3 linked regions of the Oryctolagus cuniculus genome follow. The protein of the gene in region 3 purifies or fractionates together with the protein of the main gene of each other region. This does not show direct contact. Links are inferred from orthologs where the notes say so. Each region holds a gene or a part of one and is shown on either strand. Other genes may lie near its edges. The genes, in order: ENDOD1, BZW2 and TMEM43.

Region 1 (4,828 bases), on a different chromosome or scaffold from region 3:
ATTGTTGGTGCGCCTTTGTTCACCTGCCCTTCCTCCTCTGTCTGCCCCGCCTCTTGGTAATGCTGACTTTATAAAAAGGTGATGTGGGCACAAAGCGACTCAGCATTCCAAACTGTTTGGAAGCAGCCAGAAGTAAGCACTGAGCCCCGAGCATCCTTCTGTAGTGGGGCTCCTGGCTGTGAGGCAGGCTTCTGGAAGCAGATGGGAGGAGGGGTCAGGGTTGCTGCAGTGCACCTCCCACCTCATCATCCCTGGCTCCCTGCGACTCGGGGCGGGGCGGGAGCCCATCTAGCTCCCAGGGAAAGCATCCTGCAGGGCTCAGCATCAGCGGCCACTCTGGCTTCTCCAGCAAGGTGGAGGGGAGACTCCGGACTCCTGTACTTGCCAAAACTGCTATACTTCTCTGCCCAGGAACCATCTGGAACAACTCCCCTCCTCCTCCTGATCCATTTTTCATTATTCTGTCCAGGGTCTCCACTGCTTGGTGACTTGGTTCTTCTCCACTTCTCTCCGCCAAGTAGTGTTCCTTGATGACCCCTTCAAAAACTGAATGAATGGCTCTGCCTCCCTGAGCCTCCCCTACTCGCCCCTCCCTTCCATTACCACCCTGTGTCCGGAACACTTAATAGGCTACAATCTGCTCACCTGTCCCAACCACACCCCACACACTCATCCCTGAATCACTCATGCATTTCTCACTGGTGATGTTCCCTCTGCTTGAAATTCCCTCCTTTTGTCTCCTTTCTGAACTCTGCCTTATCCTTCCAGGCACAGCAAAAATATCATCTTGACCAGAAGATTTCCCCCATCACTTCCAATACAAAGGAAATCTAATAAGACTTTGTGTACCTTTATTAAAGTACGGTTTTTTGCTTGTCACGACAGCTTGCACTTGTGCGTTGGCTGCCTCTCTGAGAATTTCATAACATTAACACTTTTAATTCGAACAACCATCCCACGCTGTTGTTGTCTCTAGGCTAACCTGCCCTAGTGTACAGAGTTAGTGGAGGATCTGGGATCTGAACCCACACAGCACAACTCTAACCAGGTGCTATGGCACCTCTCTACTTGCAAGCTAGGAAGCTCCGGGGATGTGCAGTTATGCTCAGTTTTCTAAATATTTGGCATACAGCAGGTAATTACTAAATGTGCTCTGAATCTAACTGAAATCTGCAGTCTTGTGACTTCTTCACACTTCTATCCTGTCTCCTTGAGCAGTCCTGTGAGGTTCTCAAGGAGAAAGGATCAGGCCACCCACTTTCTTCACAGGCCCACAATCACAGGGCATACCCCAAGGAGCTGGGTTGCACTGCAAGGGGAAGAATAATTTTAGATTAAAATGTGTCTGGGGGCCTGCACTGTGGCATAGTAGGCTAAGCCTCCAACTGTGGTGCTGGCATCCCATGTGGGTGCCGGTTCGGGTCCTGACTGCTCCTCTTCCAATCCAGCTTCTTGCTATGGCCTGGGAAAGCAGTGGAAGATGGCCCAAGTCCTTGGGCCCCTGCACCCACATGAGAGATCTGGAAGAAGCTCCTGGCTCCTGACTTTCAATAGACCCAGCTCCGGCCCTTGTGGCCATCTGGGGAGTGAACCAGCAGATGGAAGACCTCTCTCTCTGTCTCTCCCTCTCTCTGTGACTCTGCCTCTCAAATAAATAAATAAGTCTTTAAAAAAAACTATCTGAAGTATGCATAAGTTACAGTCTGCTTTGCATGCCAGATCTCACTGCCTCTGATGTCGACAGGCAGGGCACATGAAGGGTGCGGAGAGGGCAAGGCAATCAGGTGAGGATTGTTGGAGATCCAGCTAAGATCTCAGAGCTCGAAATATCTGAATGGGCTCATAGCTGGCAGCTCTGGAGGCAGCACCTTGAAGGCCAGTGTGGTGTGGTCTTGGGCAGCTGTGGCCATGAGGAATGAGGGCAGGGAGAGAGACTGGCCAGAGGCTGAAGGGGGCCTAGCTGGGGGTGTTGCAGAGAAGAGGCCAGCTGGGCAGAGGTGAGCCAGGGGGTGTTAAGAGTAGGCTAGCAGGTTCAGCAGGGCAGCCTCTCCAAGTGTTTGGTCACCAGCACCAGACGGGACAGAACACCAGGAGAGGTGACAGGCTTGGCAAGTGATCTGATAGTACAGATATTGATATGAAACATCAGGAAAAACTGGTTTGGTCTTCCCATCAGCGGAAGGTACTCAATGTTTCCCTACCACTTTTCCCACTACATTCCCCCAAACCTGTGCCTTTATTTTGCTGTTCTAGCTCAACACAGCTTCACATCTAATAGAGGGAAGGATTGCCCTTGCTAGGCTGGGCTCCGCAGAAGGGGAGCGTTCCCTAGGAGAAAGGACAGCGACTTTCTAGCCAAAAGACCTGCCCCACCTACCAGCAGGGTGGGCTTCTGCGAGGCTCTTCGCCCCACCCACCCGCACTCCCTCTTCTGCACAGTGGGCATAAGAACGCCCACCCGCCTACACCCCCCCCCCCCGAATGCGGCAAGTGACGCCTGCCCAGGCCTCTGGGCGCCCAGCCTGGGCTTCCTGCGGATCAGAACGCTCTCCTGGGTCTATCTCAAGCTCCTCACTACTCAGGAAACGAGTGAGACACTGCAGATGTCCGCGCCCAAATGGAGGGAGAACGCCTCCCACGGGGCACCTCCCGCCCCAGTCGCTTCACCGAAAGCTCGCAGGTCGCCAAGCTCTTCCTGCAGCTTCGGCATGGGGGAGGCAGGCTGGAACTCCCGGGGCGCGGCGGGGTGCCTCCTCAGGCCCCCTAGGGCGTGGAAGCTGCTTTTCCCGGAGTGCCCCCTTGGAGGCGCGGCCAGGCTCGGGGGCCACCTCGCTTACCTGCGGCTCCACCAGCCAGCGCGGCTCGGCGCTGCCCTGCGCGGGGCGCGCGGCGCGGAACGCCGAGTACACGGGGATGCGGTCGCGGGTGCTGTACAGGGTGGCGAAGCGCTCGGCGCCCTCCGCGCGCTGACAGATCTTCACGTGGGACTCGGCCGACAGCCCCGCGGGCGGGGTCGCGGCGTAGAAGAACTTGTCACATTCGCCAAAGCCACCTTCGTCCTCGCCCACGAGCCGGCCTTCCAGCAGCCGGGCCAGGGCGAGGAGGCTACCCAGAGCCAGCCAGCGCGCGGGGCCCATGGCGGCCTCTGCGAGCGCGGCGGGACGGCCGCGGCGCGGGCTCTGCGGGCTGGGCGGGGAGCGCGCGATGCCGCCCGGCTCGGCCTGAGGGGAAGTCGGAACCCAGGCGCGGCGCTCGGCCAGCCGGGCGGGGCGGCCCTGGCGGCGGGGGCGGTCCGCGCACGGAGGCCGCGCCCCTGCCGCCCTTCCTCCCTCGCTGAAGATGGCAGCAGAGGCCAGGGACCAGCGCCCCGGGGTGCGGCCGCAGCGCCTGGAGGCGCGGGACACCTGCCGCCGCGCCCCTGCTCTCTGCAGCAGCGAGCGCGTCCCCGGCAGGAGCGGCGGCTTGGAGCCTGACCGAGCGAGTCCGAGGGGCTGGGAGGGGACGGTCCTCGGGGCTGGGCGCCAAGAAACCCCCTGGTCTAGCGCGCCGCAGGGGCCCTCGGGGATGCAGAGGGGCCGCGTGAGGGGTTCGCGGAGCTGTGCGGACTTCGAAGCTAAAGAGCAGCGGTCCCTCCTGAAAGCTGATGAAGCTCAATCTCTCCTCCCCACCGAACTGCTCGGCCGCCGCCGTCTCCGTAGACAACCCTGATGTTTGGTTTGCTTGTTTGTTTTAAGCTACTCAGAAGCCCTGACATCCCAGCTAGGATCCCGTTAGCGGAAGTTCCAAACCTAGGCCGACCGTCCCAGCCCTGCCGTGATTGGCTAGGTGCAAGGATGAGAAGCCAAACTGACATCCAGAAAGGGAGACCACCACCAAGGATTGAGAGGCTAGGGGATTCCGTCCTCACTGCTCTCCGTGAATGCTCACGTGCCACCCTGGGCTCCGTGCTGGCTTACGACAGGGACCAACAAGAACAGGTCCTCCGGGTCAGGAAGACAGCACCCCACTCGACGGGCTTGTCGTGAACCCAAGAAGCACGCGATTACAGGACTAATTACAAACTGCCCACGCCGCTGTGAGAATTCGGCGCCTGTGGGGCTTGGAATACAGTATGGGAAGGTTTGCCTCAAGCAGTAGCATTTGAGCTGAGACCTGGAGGATCATTACATAACAGAGAGGAACTGAACTGTGCTATGGGATTCCCCTGGCAGAAAGGAAGGTGATGTGTTGGAGGAATTCAGGAAGACTTCTGGTGGGGATCCGCAGCAGGTAACTGGGGGAAGATTATGGGAAATGGGGCTAAAGAAGGAGGCAGGGCTCCTATCCTCCAGGGAATCATAGGCCAGAGGCCTTCAAATATTGCTTGACAAGACCCACAGTGAGAAAACCAGTTTCGTGGAATAATACCCAGGCGTACAATTGGCTTCGCCATCTCTCATTTCTGTTCTAGTCTACTTTATTCCATCATAGGTAATATGGAGGATTTGGACCTTACAACAGTGGTGACACAATCATATTTGCTTTCTGGACAGAATCTGGTGCATAGGACCAGTCCAGAATGAAAGAAGGAAAGACATGAAAAAGCAATAACCCCTAGTGAGAGATGGTGACTTGGACAGTATGGCAGAAGAGACAGAGACAGGGCACCCACTAAGGGCTTCTCACATAATCCTGTTTCCCAGTGTTCCGCTTGGGGCACTGAGGTCCAGAGCGTGTTGATGCTTGCCTGCCATGGCACAGCAGGCAAGTCCTGAGCCAGACTTGAAGCAGATCGCTCTAATTCCCAGGCCTGGCCTTTCCTCCAAGTCAGAGCAAAGCTGTGAGGTGA
Region 2 (4,919 bases), on a different chromosome or scaffold from region 3:
GATGTGGAATATGCACAGGTGAAATTTCATGGTCAACAGAATGTCAGAACCTTGAAACCCAAAGCATTTACAGCCCGTTTGCCCCTGGTTATGGGCATGTGTATGTGTGTTTAGTGCCACGGTGCACTGCTCACTGCCAGGAAGGATTAGCTGAGTTGGGAAATAAATCCACCTAAAATAACTTAGGGATCAAATGGACTCAACTCAGCATGTACTGGGCACAGCACAGGGACAAGACACTACACCTTGAGAATCAGAGGCCACCCCGACCTGGCTGATACATGGGTGAGAAGAGCCTGCACGAGCCACTTCCTTGGCAACCCAGAGAAGCAGTGTGAACTCGGGGGACCAAGGCGGGAGGCTGAGTTAGAAGATGCTGTCCACAATGGGACCAGTTGTCATCCCTGTGCGTGGCTCTCACAGTCTGGGAGAAGAGGTGAGCAGGAAGCAAGGAGCAGCCATCAGTTCTGGGAAGCAGTGACTTCCTGAGGAGGGTTGGGAGGTCCTTCCAGGAAGAGCACAGCAGGAACAAAGGGGGGTGAGAATGACCAGCAGGGTAGGGATCCAGCAGGGCTGTGACCTCAGAGCACAGCAGGGGAGAGGCCACAGCAAGGCTGGCCGGACCTGAACCTCCACTCTGGGGCCAGAGGGTGTTCCATGGTTATTGATCTGGGAGTTCCTTGGGTTAGCTGCATGGGGAGAGGTGGCAGAGGAACAGGGGGTGTAAGAATCCACTGATGGGCCAGCGTTGCGGCCCAGTGGGCTGAGCTGCCACCTGTGATAATGCTGGTTCAAGTCCCGGCGGCTCCACTTAAGATCCACCTTCCTGCTAACACACATGGGAAAGCATAGTAAGATGGCCCAAGCACCTAACCCCTGCACCTGTGAGAGAGACCTGGAAGCTCCTGGCTCCAGACTTTGGCCTGGCCCAGTCTCAGCCACTGTGGCCACCTGGAGAGTGAACCAGTGGATGGAAGCTCGCTCCCTCTCTGTAACTCTGCCTTTCAAATAAATATTTACAAAAAATAATGGACTGGAATGCCAGGGGTCTAAGGCAGTCTTTAGGAGCAGAGGAGGGGACACAGACACACTGATTCTGAAATTGATATGAAATTTGTGATAAGACATACTGATAAGAAATCAGTATTCTTTACAAGGTGAAGAAACAAGAGCATCATCATACAAATTCTGCTACACAAGTGTGGCAGTAGGCTCCAATTTCTGTAAAAATAAATAAAATGGTGGGTATATATATATATTTACATAAACTAGCTCTGCAAAATATGAAAAAAATAAATCTCATTGGCTGTGGGGCAGCAAGGAGGCAGGAGGGGCCTGTAGCTCCCCTGGCGAAACCACAAGGAGGCATTATCCACCAGCTCCTCAAAATAATAGAGTTCCCCCCTCCCCGCACTGCCTGGCACCCAGGTGCCATGCCAGGCTCCCATCCTGCTTCTGACACTTGTCAGCTGTGGCGCTGTGGACTAACGAATTAACTTCCCTATTTTCTGCCCTCCTCGTTGCAGAAATGAAAATCATCTTGGCTAATTCCTGGGTTGTTATAACGATGATTAAAATAATCCTGTGCAAAGCATCTGGTAGAGTTATTTGGCGCGGGCTGAGCACTGCTATTTTATTATCAATGAAACTCCTTAGATCTGAGCACGGTTTAATATGCTCATTAGTGACTCTCACCCCTACACTAAATATTTAGACTGCACAAAGCTATTCACGTCACCCATCTAAGGAACCATTCTCCATGATGGCAGAAATTTAAATGGAGCAGCTGACCTGTCCACATGTCTGAGTCCACATTTACCTAAGCCACAAGAGAGGCTCAGAACCAGTCAGGTGTCACAAGGCAGGAAGAGGTAACTCAGCTCCTATCCCCGGGGAGCCGACGGCCCCAGGGAGGCAAACAGGTGCGACCTTGAAGACACCAGGGCTGGAATCCAGGCGGGAAGCACCTGCGGGCTCGGTCGGGGTTCCTCCCAGGACGCTCAGAGTGTCACCCAGCCCCGGTCCCTCCCTTCCCCCGGGCAGAACAGGCGCCTGATTATCTTAGCACCATCGGACAAAAACTTTCTTTGTTACGCGCAGAGATGAATGATCTCAGGCCGTCTGGTCCTGGCTTCGCACCCCCAGCCTGGGCAGCAGCAAAGCCTCGGTGGGGGAGGGGAGCAGGGCTGGTGTGCGGGAGATTTGGGGGGGTGGGGGAGGCAGGAAATCAGAAACCAGCGAAGCTGCAAAGAGCTCTACTGCACTTCGCACGCGGCACAGCGGGCCAGCCAGAGCGAAGCCGCCGACGTCGTGATTGACGTCTGTCTCTCGCTCGTCTGCGTCGTGATTGACGCGTGTCTGTCCGGACTCGGCCGGTCAGGGCTGGAGCAAAGGCTGCAAGGCAGCGCGGACGCTTATTCTCCAGGCGGCCTGCAAGGGAGGCCGCGGGCACGGCGGACACGCACCCCGTGAGGTGGGGTGGGGGGCTCTGGACTCCGGCCCCCAGCCCTTAGCAGGCCGCCCCCCGCACACGACACCCAGGCAGCGGCCAGAGGGGAAGCCGCGCCGCCGACCCCGTCCCTGGCCCTCCTGCCCCGGGTCCGTGGAGCGCGCGGGACCCGGGCACCTCCGCGGCGCGCAGGGCCCCGGGGCTAGTTCCAAAGCCGGGCAGCGGGCGCACAGGCCCGGGCGGGCGACGGCCGAAGGCAGCCGCCTCCCCAGCACGCCGGCCCCTGCCCCCCGCGCCCTCCGCGGCCCGCCGCTTCCCGCGCGGGACCACGTGCGCCCGCCCCGTGGCCGGCCGCAGCCGGGCGAGCCGCGGTCCCCGCCCGCGGGGCTTCGGCTCCGGCTCCGGCGGCACAGGCACACGCGCCCGTCCGCACGCCGGCTCCGGCCCCGGGCGCCTGGGTCCCCACGCGGGGCTGGCTTCTCACCTGTCCGAGGAGGTAGCGACGACGCGCGAGGCCGGGGGCTGCGGCGGCTTCTGGCAGCGGCGGCAGACAATGGAGGAATGAAGGACAGACACATTGACATAGACACACGGAACCCAGCGCAGCACCGCCTCCCGCCAGGCCCCGCCCCTCGGCCCGCCCCTCTGCCGGACTGCGCCTCTCCCGGGGGATGCCGTGCGCTGCAGAGCCGAAGCAGGAGGCGTCTTCACGCATTGGAAAGCCACAGCGGGAAACAGCACTGCTAGGTAGAGAATGGTCATCGCGCTGCGTCCCCAGGTATCTGAACCTAATAGAGAGGGGGCGGAAACGTGCAAGAAGAATTTCCTGTCCCCCCTCCTGTTTTCTCCGTTTGGTTTTGCCCGCTCGGGCTGCTCCAATCGGAGTCCCTGGAAGCAGCCTCCTGCGGCTCCTCCCCCAGTCCGGGCCAATGACACGCGGGGGGCGGTGCCGGCGGCGGGGCTCGCGGGAGCTCGCGCCCCGCAGGGAGAAGGGAGTGGGGCGCTTCCGCTGTCCGCCGCTGCTGCTCGCCCGGACGGAGCCTCGCTTTTTTTTTTTTTTTTTTTTTTTTTTTGAAGCTTGCCCAGGAGCAAGATCGCCTTCAAGCTGGCGGCAGCCATGGTTCACATACAGAAAGGCGAGCTGACTCCGGAGGAAAAGGAGCTGCTGGAGGCCATCGGGAAAGGTATGGGTGCGGGGCTGGGAAGCGGGGCGCCGCGGCCTTAGCAGGGGGCGTGGCGGAGCCCCGGGGTGGGGGGCGCCCCGGCCGGGGTACCCCGCGACGTGGGCAAGGCTCTGGCCGGGTGAAGGCGGGGTTTCGCGGCCTGGGTCTGCGCTGCCCCCCGGGCCGCGGGGTGAGCCGCACACACGGCCTCCGCAGCCTGCTGGGTTCTCGGGCTGCTTCCGGGGGCAGTCTGGGGCCACCTCCTCTCCTCCACTTTGCTTTGGGGGCTGAGAGAGCCGTAACTCGGGGCTCCCACGTCCCAGGCCTCGCTGCGTGCGCGCCCCAGGCCTCGCTTCCGCTGCGCCCCGGGCCCGAGGAGCCCGCACCTGGCAGGTGTCGGGGGGCGTGGCTGCTGCGCCAGGGGGTCCCGCAGATGGAGGCTCCACCGCGACGATGGAGGCCGGATTTGAACTCCACCGGGGCCAACGAGCTGAGTCCTCCCGGTCTGGGGTAGCCCCGGTGTGGGGAATCTCCAGCCTTATTAGCCTGCCGAGCTACAGCTTTGGGTCCTCCCCGACCTGGTGGGCTGTCTCCTGTCCCTGGGGGCTGCAGGGCTCGGTCCAGCACGCGTGAGTGCCGGCCTAGGACTGTGCCTTGCCCCGCCCCAGTCCATCAGGGACCAGAGCAGGCGAGAGCTGTGGGTCACGTGTTCGCTTATTAACAGTGACAGGCGCCAAGCCGTCTTAGAGATGAGGTCTCAGGTGTGGCAGGTGGGTTTTGGAGTTGCTGGGAAGCCAGGTGAGGGTGTCTCTGCTCCAGTTAGGGCTGGATGTGCCAGGAAGTGGGGCGGCCTGGGAGTCACATGGGGCATCCGTAGTGTGTGTGTGTGCGCGTGTGTGTGTCTGTGGTCCCTTTGCTTGGCACAGGCTAATGAGAAAAGAAGTGAGGTGCAGGTGGTGTCAGGGAAAGTCTGGGACACCACTGAACTCTCAGAGCAGTGTGAGATGGGAGCAGAGTAGCAACCACAAGATGCACCTGCTGAACCTCATGAGCCAGGTGGGATTCTGCATACTCTACATGCATCTAGTTTTGAGCAGCTAACCATGATTTTTAAGCTGTCATGTTCTGAGAGGGGCTAGCTGTTCGGGTCCTTTTTGGGGATCCTGCCTGAATCCCCTGTGTGGTGCTGTGGCCGTGGGCACCTCAGTACTGCTGAGGTCTCCTTAGGGTGTGAGGATGAAGTCCTTATAGGCAGAGCATTCAAATCAGCGTGGCAGCTGCTGTTGCCATCCGTATGGTAATCCCTG
Region 3 (4,670 bases):
CTACCTGGAAGCTGGCTGAGCAGCCAGGATGCTGCCTGGGGAGTGTCCCAGGCAGTGACTTAAGCCACGGGGCCACAAAGCCCAGTCTGTCATACCTGACCTTTTAGGAACTGCCAAACTGTAGTACATGAAGCTTGTTAGGGATGTACTCTTTATTGCATTTAACAAATAGGGGCTGAGCTTCCGGAACTGCTCCTGGGCCTTGAGGGCACTCAAGTCATAGCCATAAGATTGGTGGTCATCCTGTGAGAGAGGTGCACCTGGTCCTTTCTGGGGTATCAAGGAGGAGGGGGCATTTGAGTGTGGGGAGGGCCTGCCCAGCAGAGGGCCCAGGTGAGCAGTGGTGTGGCAGCAGGACATGTGTCTCAGGAGCAGCTGCCGTCTGCCTGGCTGGGTTGTGAGGGCGTGGGACAGCATGAGGGCCACAGGCATGTCTGGGCAAGTTCCCAGGCACAGTCTGCAGTGCGTCCCCCGCCAACCAGGAAGGCTAGCCATCCAGGCTCTGCCACACACCGGCCAGGGGCCTTTGGCCAGGCAATGAAAACCCTCTGTAGCCTCCACTTCCTCATCAGTAAAGTGGGAACAGGGGTCCACTGCACAGGCTGCGGTGAGAAGCCAAGGACGTAACAGCCAGGCTGCTGAGCACAGCGGGCCCTGCAGGGCCCTGTGGGTTTTCATTAGCAGGGCTGTTATCAGAGGTCTCTGCATCCGACGGGGTGGCAGCAAGGCTGTGGGTGAGCCAAGAGCGGTCACGAGGGTGGAAAGTGCTTCCCAGAGGAGCTCCTGCTGCCTGAGGCCCCCCACCTTGCCACCGCCCAGTCCGAGGAGAGACTGAGATCAGAATCTCTGCACACCGCAGCCCAGGCCTGCCTGGAACCACACGTGTCCACAGCACCCAGAAACAACCTGACTTCCGGTATCAACAGATACACTGCTGGACTCTGTCAGCAGGTGGGTCGCTGACCATTGGCCATGGTAAGGATGGCGATGCAGACCTGCCAGGCTACCATGGGCCAGGTGTGGGCAAGATCCGGGGGACAGACACTCACTATGCCCCATTTCACCGGTGAGAAAAACCAAGTCTCAGCAGTTTCGGCGTCTGCCCAGATCTCACGGCCTTTTGGATTTTTCTACCACGAAGCTCACGTCTGTGTCACTCAGTGCTGGGGCTGAAATGTGAGGTGAACGCTGGGTGCCAGCTGCAGGCATGGCTTCCTCCTGGGCCACCCCGTGGCCAGCATCAAGGGCTCCAGGAGGGCCTTGGAGGGAAGGAAGAGAGGCCCAGGAGGCTCCCTGCCAGGCTGGAGGGAGGTGGGTAGTGACAAGACACACCCAGCACCCAGCCCAGGTTCTGAACCAAATTTCCCACACTCCACACTCAGGAGGGGCAGGGAGGAGGTATGCAAATGAGCTCCTCCCAGTGACACACTCACACACACACACACACACACATTCGGGCACTCCAGGCTCAGCTGCTTGAACAAGTGGTGGGAACAAGGACTCACAGCGCCTGCTTGGCCGGTCGGCTGCTGGGCAACCTTGGGTGAGTTGCTCTGCTTCTCTGACCCCCCACCCCCCCCCCCCCCCCGCCTACTCACTTAGGAAACGCAGAAGGGGTCACTACCTTCATCAAGGGACAGTTACTGTCATAGCGAATGCTGCCCTCTCCCCACTCTTCAGATCTTTCCCCCGCCCTGAGGGAACCCCAACTTTTTTGCGCATGCGTGCAGCTAAACCAGCGACGGGCATTTTCTCCACAAAGTAGCAAGATGCGCGACAAAGTCCTGGTGGCTGCCATCGACGTGTCCCCAGCTCTGCAGATCAGCAAGAGCCTGGCGGCAGAGGCGGCCCAAAGGTACCCCCGTTTCTTGGTGACACACCCGGGCCAGGCGCGCTAAGGCTGTGAGAACCACCTGCTGTTCGGTGCTGGGAACAGGCTCTGTGCTGAGCTGGTGAAGAAACACAGATCCAGCGAGCGCAGGGCCACACAGCTACAGAGCGGGTGTGCCCCCAGGTCTCCCTGAGTCCTCAGCACCTTCCCGTGTCCTGGTGTGCGCCAGGGTGGACGTGAGACCCTGGGCAGGTCCCTTCCCCTGCTCTGCAAATTCCCCATCTGTGAACTCCATGGATGGCGGCGCCGCCTGCTGCAGGGCCAGGCGGGTCTCCTGGAACCGTCTGCCCTGGCGGTCCTCCGCCCGCCTTTTCTAGGGCACTGTGCCAGGGGCAAGGGGCGACACAAACCCTGGCCTCCCGGGGTCCCTTTGGGGAGAGCAGTAGCCTTGGCAAGAGAGAGTGACAGGCCCGGGAGGGCGGGTCTGGGCTGGCAGGGTGCTGGAGCTGGCTCCACAGAGCAAGGGAGTGAGTCACCAGCTTCTCGCACAGCCGACACCCCGGCAGGAGGGCGAGGTTTGTTGAATGAATGTTCTGTAGGTTGCAAAGAGGCTGGCAGCCCTGAAGGCCATCCCCGGCCAGGGCCCCTCCGACCAAATCCGCTAGGAGGGGAGCGCAGGGGAGCGGAGGGGAGGGGAGTGGAGGGCGGGCCGAGGGACGCGATTCTCCTCTGCAGCCCTCCCCGCCCGGCCCGGGCCCCTCTGCGGCATCGCAGCCCCTGGGCGGGGGTCTCGCTCTCTGCCCGGTCTGTCCCTCGCTGGACAGCTCCCCGCGGGCGGGATCCGCCTCCCGCCCCCGCGACGGACCGGCCCCCTCCCCGAGGCCGCGCCCGGCTCTCCAGTGCCGCGGGGTTCAGACCCCCGAGGAGCCAGGCGGGGCCTGGGAGAAGCCGAGGCGGGCGCGACCCCTCCCGAGCCCCGCTCCCCGCAGCCGCGCCCCGCAAGGCGAGCCGCGCCGAGGACAGCGGACAGAGACGGGAGCAAGACGGACAGGCCGAGCGACAGCGGACGAGACTGCGACGAGGCTCGGACAGCCCCTCAGACCCGGGCGGCCAGCAGGGAGACGGGGCGGCCTGGGTGTGGCCCGGCCGACCGGGAGGCACTCACATTCGCCGCCATGCTGGGGCCCGAGTCGCGGCCGCCCACTCGCTCTGGTCCGGAGGACGATCGGAGTGCAGAGTCTCGCGGCCTCTTCGCTGCCCTACCGCCGAACAACTCCGCGTGGAGCCCGGGATCAGGAGCAACTTGCTACGCAGTCCCCGCCCCGAGGGAACCCCAACTTTTTTGCGCATGCGCGCAGCTAAACCAGCGGCGGGCATTTTCTTCACAAAGTAGCAATACGCCCGAGATTCACTGGCACGCCTGCGCGCCGCAAAGAGTTCCTGGGAAATGTAGTTCCCACCTTCTGGAGGGCAGCCAAGGGGCCCCTCAGGCTCTTGGGAAATGTAGTTTCTGGCTGAGGAGAGCCGGGCTGGCGCTGCGAGGGCGCGGAGGCAGGCGCGCGGCGGGCAGGCCTGGAGGGGGCGGGTCTGCGCGGGCCTCACAGCCGTCTGTCTGCCCTGCCTGAGTAGAGGGAGGTCACGGCGTGACCGTCGCCACCGCCGCCGGTGCGAGGTCGAGTCGCCGGGCCGCAGCCATGGCCTACTGCCGGCAGGAAGGTAGGGAGAGCGGGCTGCGCCGGCCTGTGGGAGACGCGCGGGCTCCTGCGGCCCCTGTGGCCCCTGTGGCCCCCGCGGCCGGCGAGGGCTCCCCGAGGCGCGGTCGGGGGGTGCCCACCTCGGGGCTGACCGGGCGGCGGGGTCGCCACATGGAGTTGTGTAGAAGAGAAAACGGGGTTCTGGGAAGAACGGGGCTGGTCCAAGGTCACGGTGCAGCCTGAACCCGGAGCTCGGAGGGGCCTGCACGTGGGAGAGCCGCAGACCAGGCCCGGAGGGCGCCCGGGAAGCGAGCGCTGGGCTCGCAGGTGGGATTGTGCTGCGGCGACTTGTTCGCGCCCCGCGCGGGCCCTCCACGGAGGCGTGTGCGGTGTCGGGGCGCGGGAAGCGCCCCCTGCACCGTTGGAGCATATTCCTAGCTCTGCGCTTGCGTTTATGGAGCCGTAAACCGAGACGCAGGTGAGTCGGCCAAGCCGGTGGGGCCGGGGTTGGAGGCCCTGCTGCTCTGCCCCCCAGAGCCGTCCCTGGGCCTCGCCACACTACCGGGGTCCCTGTGCCCTAGCGGACCCCCGACCCCGCCAGGCCCCCGGCGCCGGGCCTCATTCATTCGGCGGCGCGTTCTCGGTGCCGGGGGAGCGGCTGGTGGGCTGCAGCGGATGCACAGCTGTGGAGTTAGCACTCAGACAGAAATTTGAACAGCTTTGCTCCTTCAGTTTAACTTATGGGTCCTGAGGCCCAGAGAGGGTGGCCACCCATCCAGCCCCCTGCTAATGCGCCTTTGGGGCAGCGGCTGGTGGCTACAGTACTTGGGCCCCTGCCCACCCCCTGGGGGGAGACCCAGAGGCTGTTCCTGGCTCCTGGTGTGAGCCTGGCCCCCTCTGGCCAGCATTTGGGAAATCAGTGGATGGAAGAAGACCTTTCTCTGTCAAGTAGATGAGAATAAGTAAAATGTTAGAAACGAAAATGAATAAAGAAATATGCCGGGTCTTTACCGCGGGACTTCTGCCTGGGTGTAGAACGGCTGCTTCCCTGGACCCGAAAGCTGTCCCACTCCCTCTCCAAGGACCGCGGGCATACCTCACTTTCATTGTGCTCCCTATTCCGTGCAGCTTCCGTTTTGAAGCTT

The links.
Region 1: the proteins of TMEM43 (region 3) and ENDOD1 purify together in Homo sapiens (affinity purification with mass spectrometry; 3 studies listed by BioGRID and IntAct, with this or other methods). This does not show direct contact. The link is inferred for Oryctolagus cuniculus from reciprocal best matches to the Homo sapiens genes TMEM43 and ENDOD1.
Region 2: the proteins of TMEM43 (region 3) and BZW2 purify together in Homo sapiens (affinity purification with mass spectrometry; 3 studies listed by BioGRID and IntAct, counting the BioPlex papers as one, with this or other methods). This does not show direct contact. The link is inferred for Oryctolagus cuniculus from reciprocal best matches to the Homo sapiens genes TMEM43 and BZW2.

Annotation. Positions count from the first base shown.
Region 1 is NC_091432.1:86,429,854-86,434,681, reverse strand, and holds the start of ENDOD1 (endonuclease domain-containing 1 protein), read right to left. Parts: upstream 3,255-4,828; 5' UTR 3,138-3,254; coding exon 2,838-3,137; intron 1-2,837. UniProt on the Homo sapiens protein: May act as a DNase and a RNase. Plays a role in the modulation of innate immune signaling through the cGAS-STING pathway by interacting with RNF26.
Region 2 is NC_091447.1:8,254,984-8,259,902, reverse strand, and holds the start of BZW2 (eIF5-mimic protein 1), read right to left. Parts: upstream 3,212-4,919; coding exon 2,934-3,211; intron 1-2,933. Other genes in the region: ANKMY2 (ankyrin repeat and MYND domain-containing protein 2), read left to right, coding at 3,567-3,633. UniProt on the Homo sapiens protein: Translation initiation regulator which represses non-AUG initiated translation and repeat-associated non-AUG (RAN) initiated translation by acting as a competitive inhibitor of eukaryotic translation initiation factor 5 (EIF5) function.
Region 3 is NC_091441.1:113,066,439-113,071,108, reverse strand, and holds the start of TMEM43 (transmembrane protein 43), read right to left. Parts: upstream 3,258-4,670; 5' UTR 3,009-3,257; coding exon 2,997-3,008; intron 1-2,996. Other genes in the region: CHCHD4 (mitochondrial intermembrane space import and assembly protein 40), read left to right, coding at 3,526-3,547. UniProt on the Homo sapiens protein: May have an important role in maintaining nuclear envelope structure by organizing protein complexes at the inner nuclear membrane. Required for retaining emerin at the inner nuclear membrane.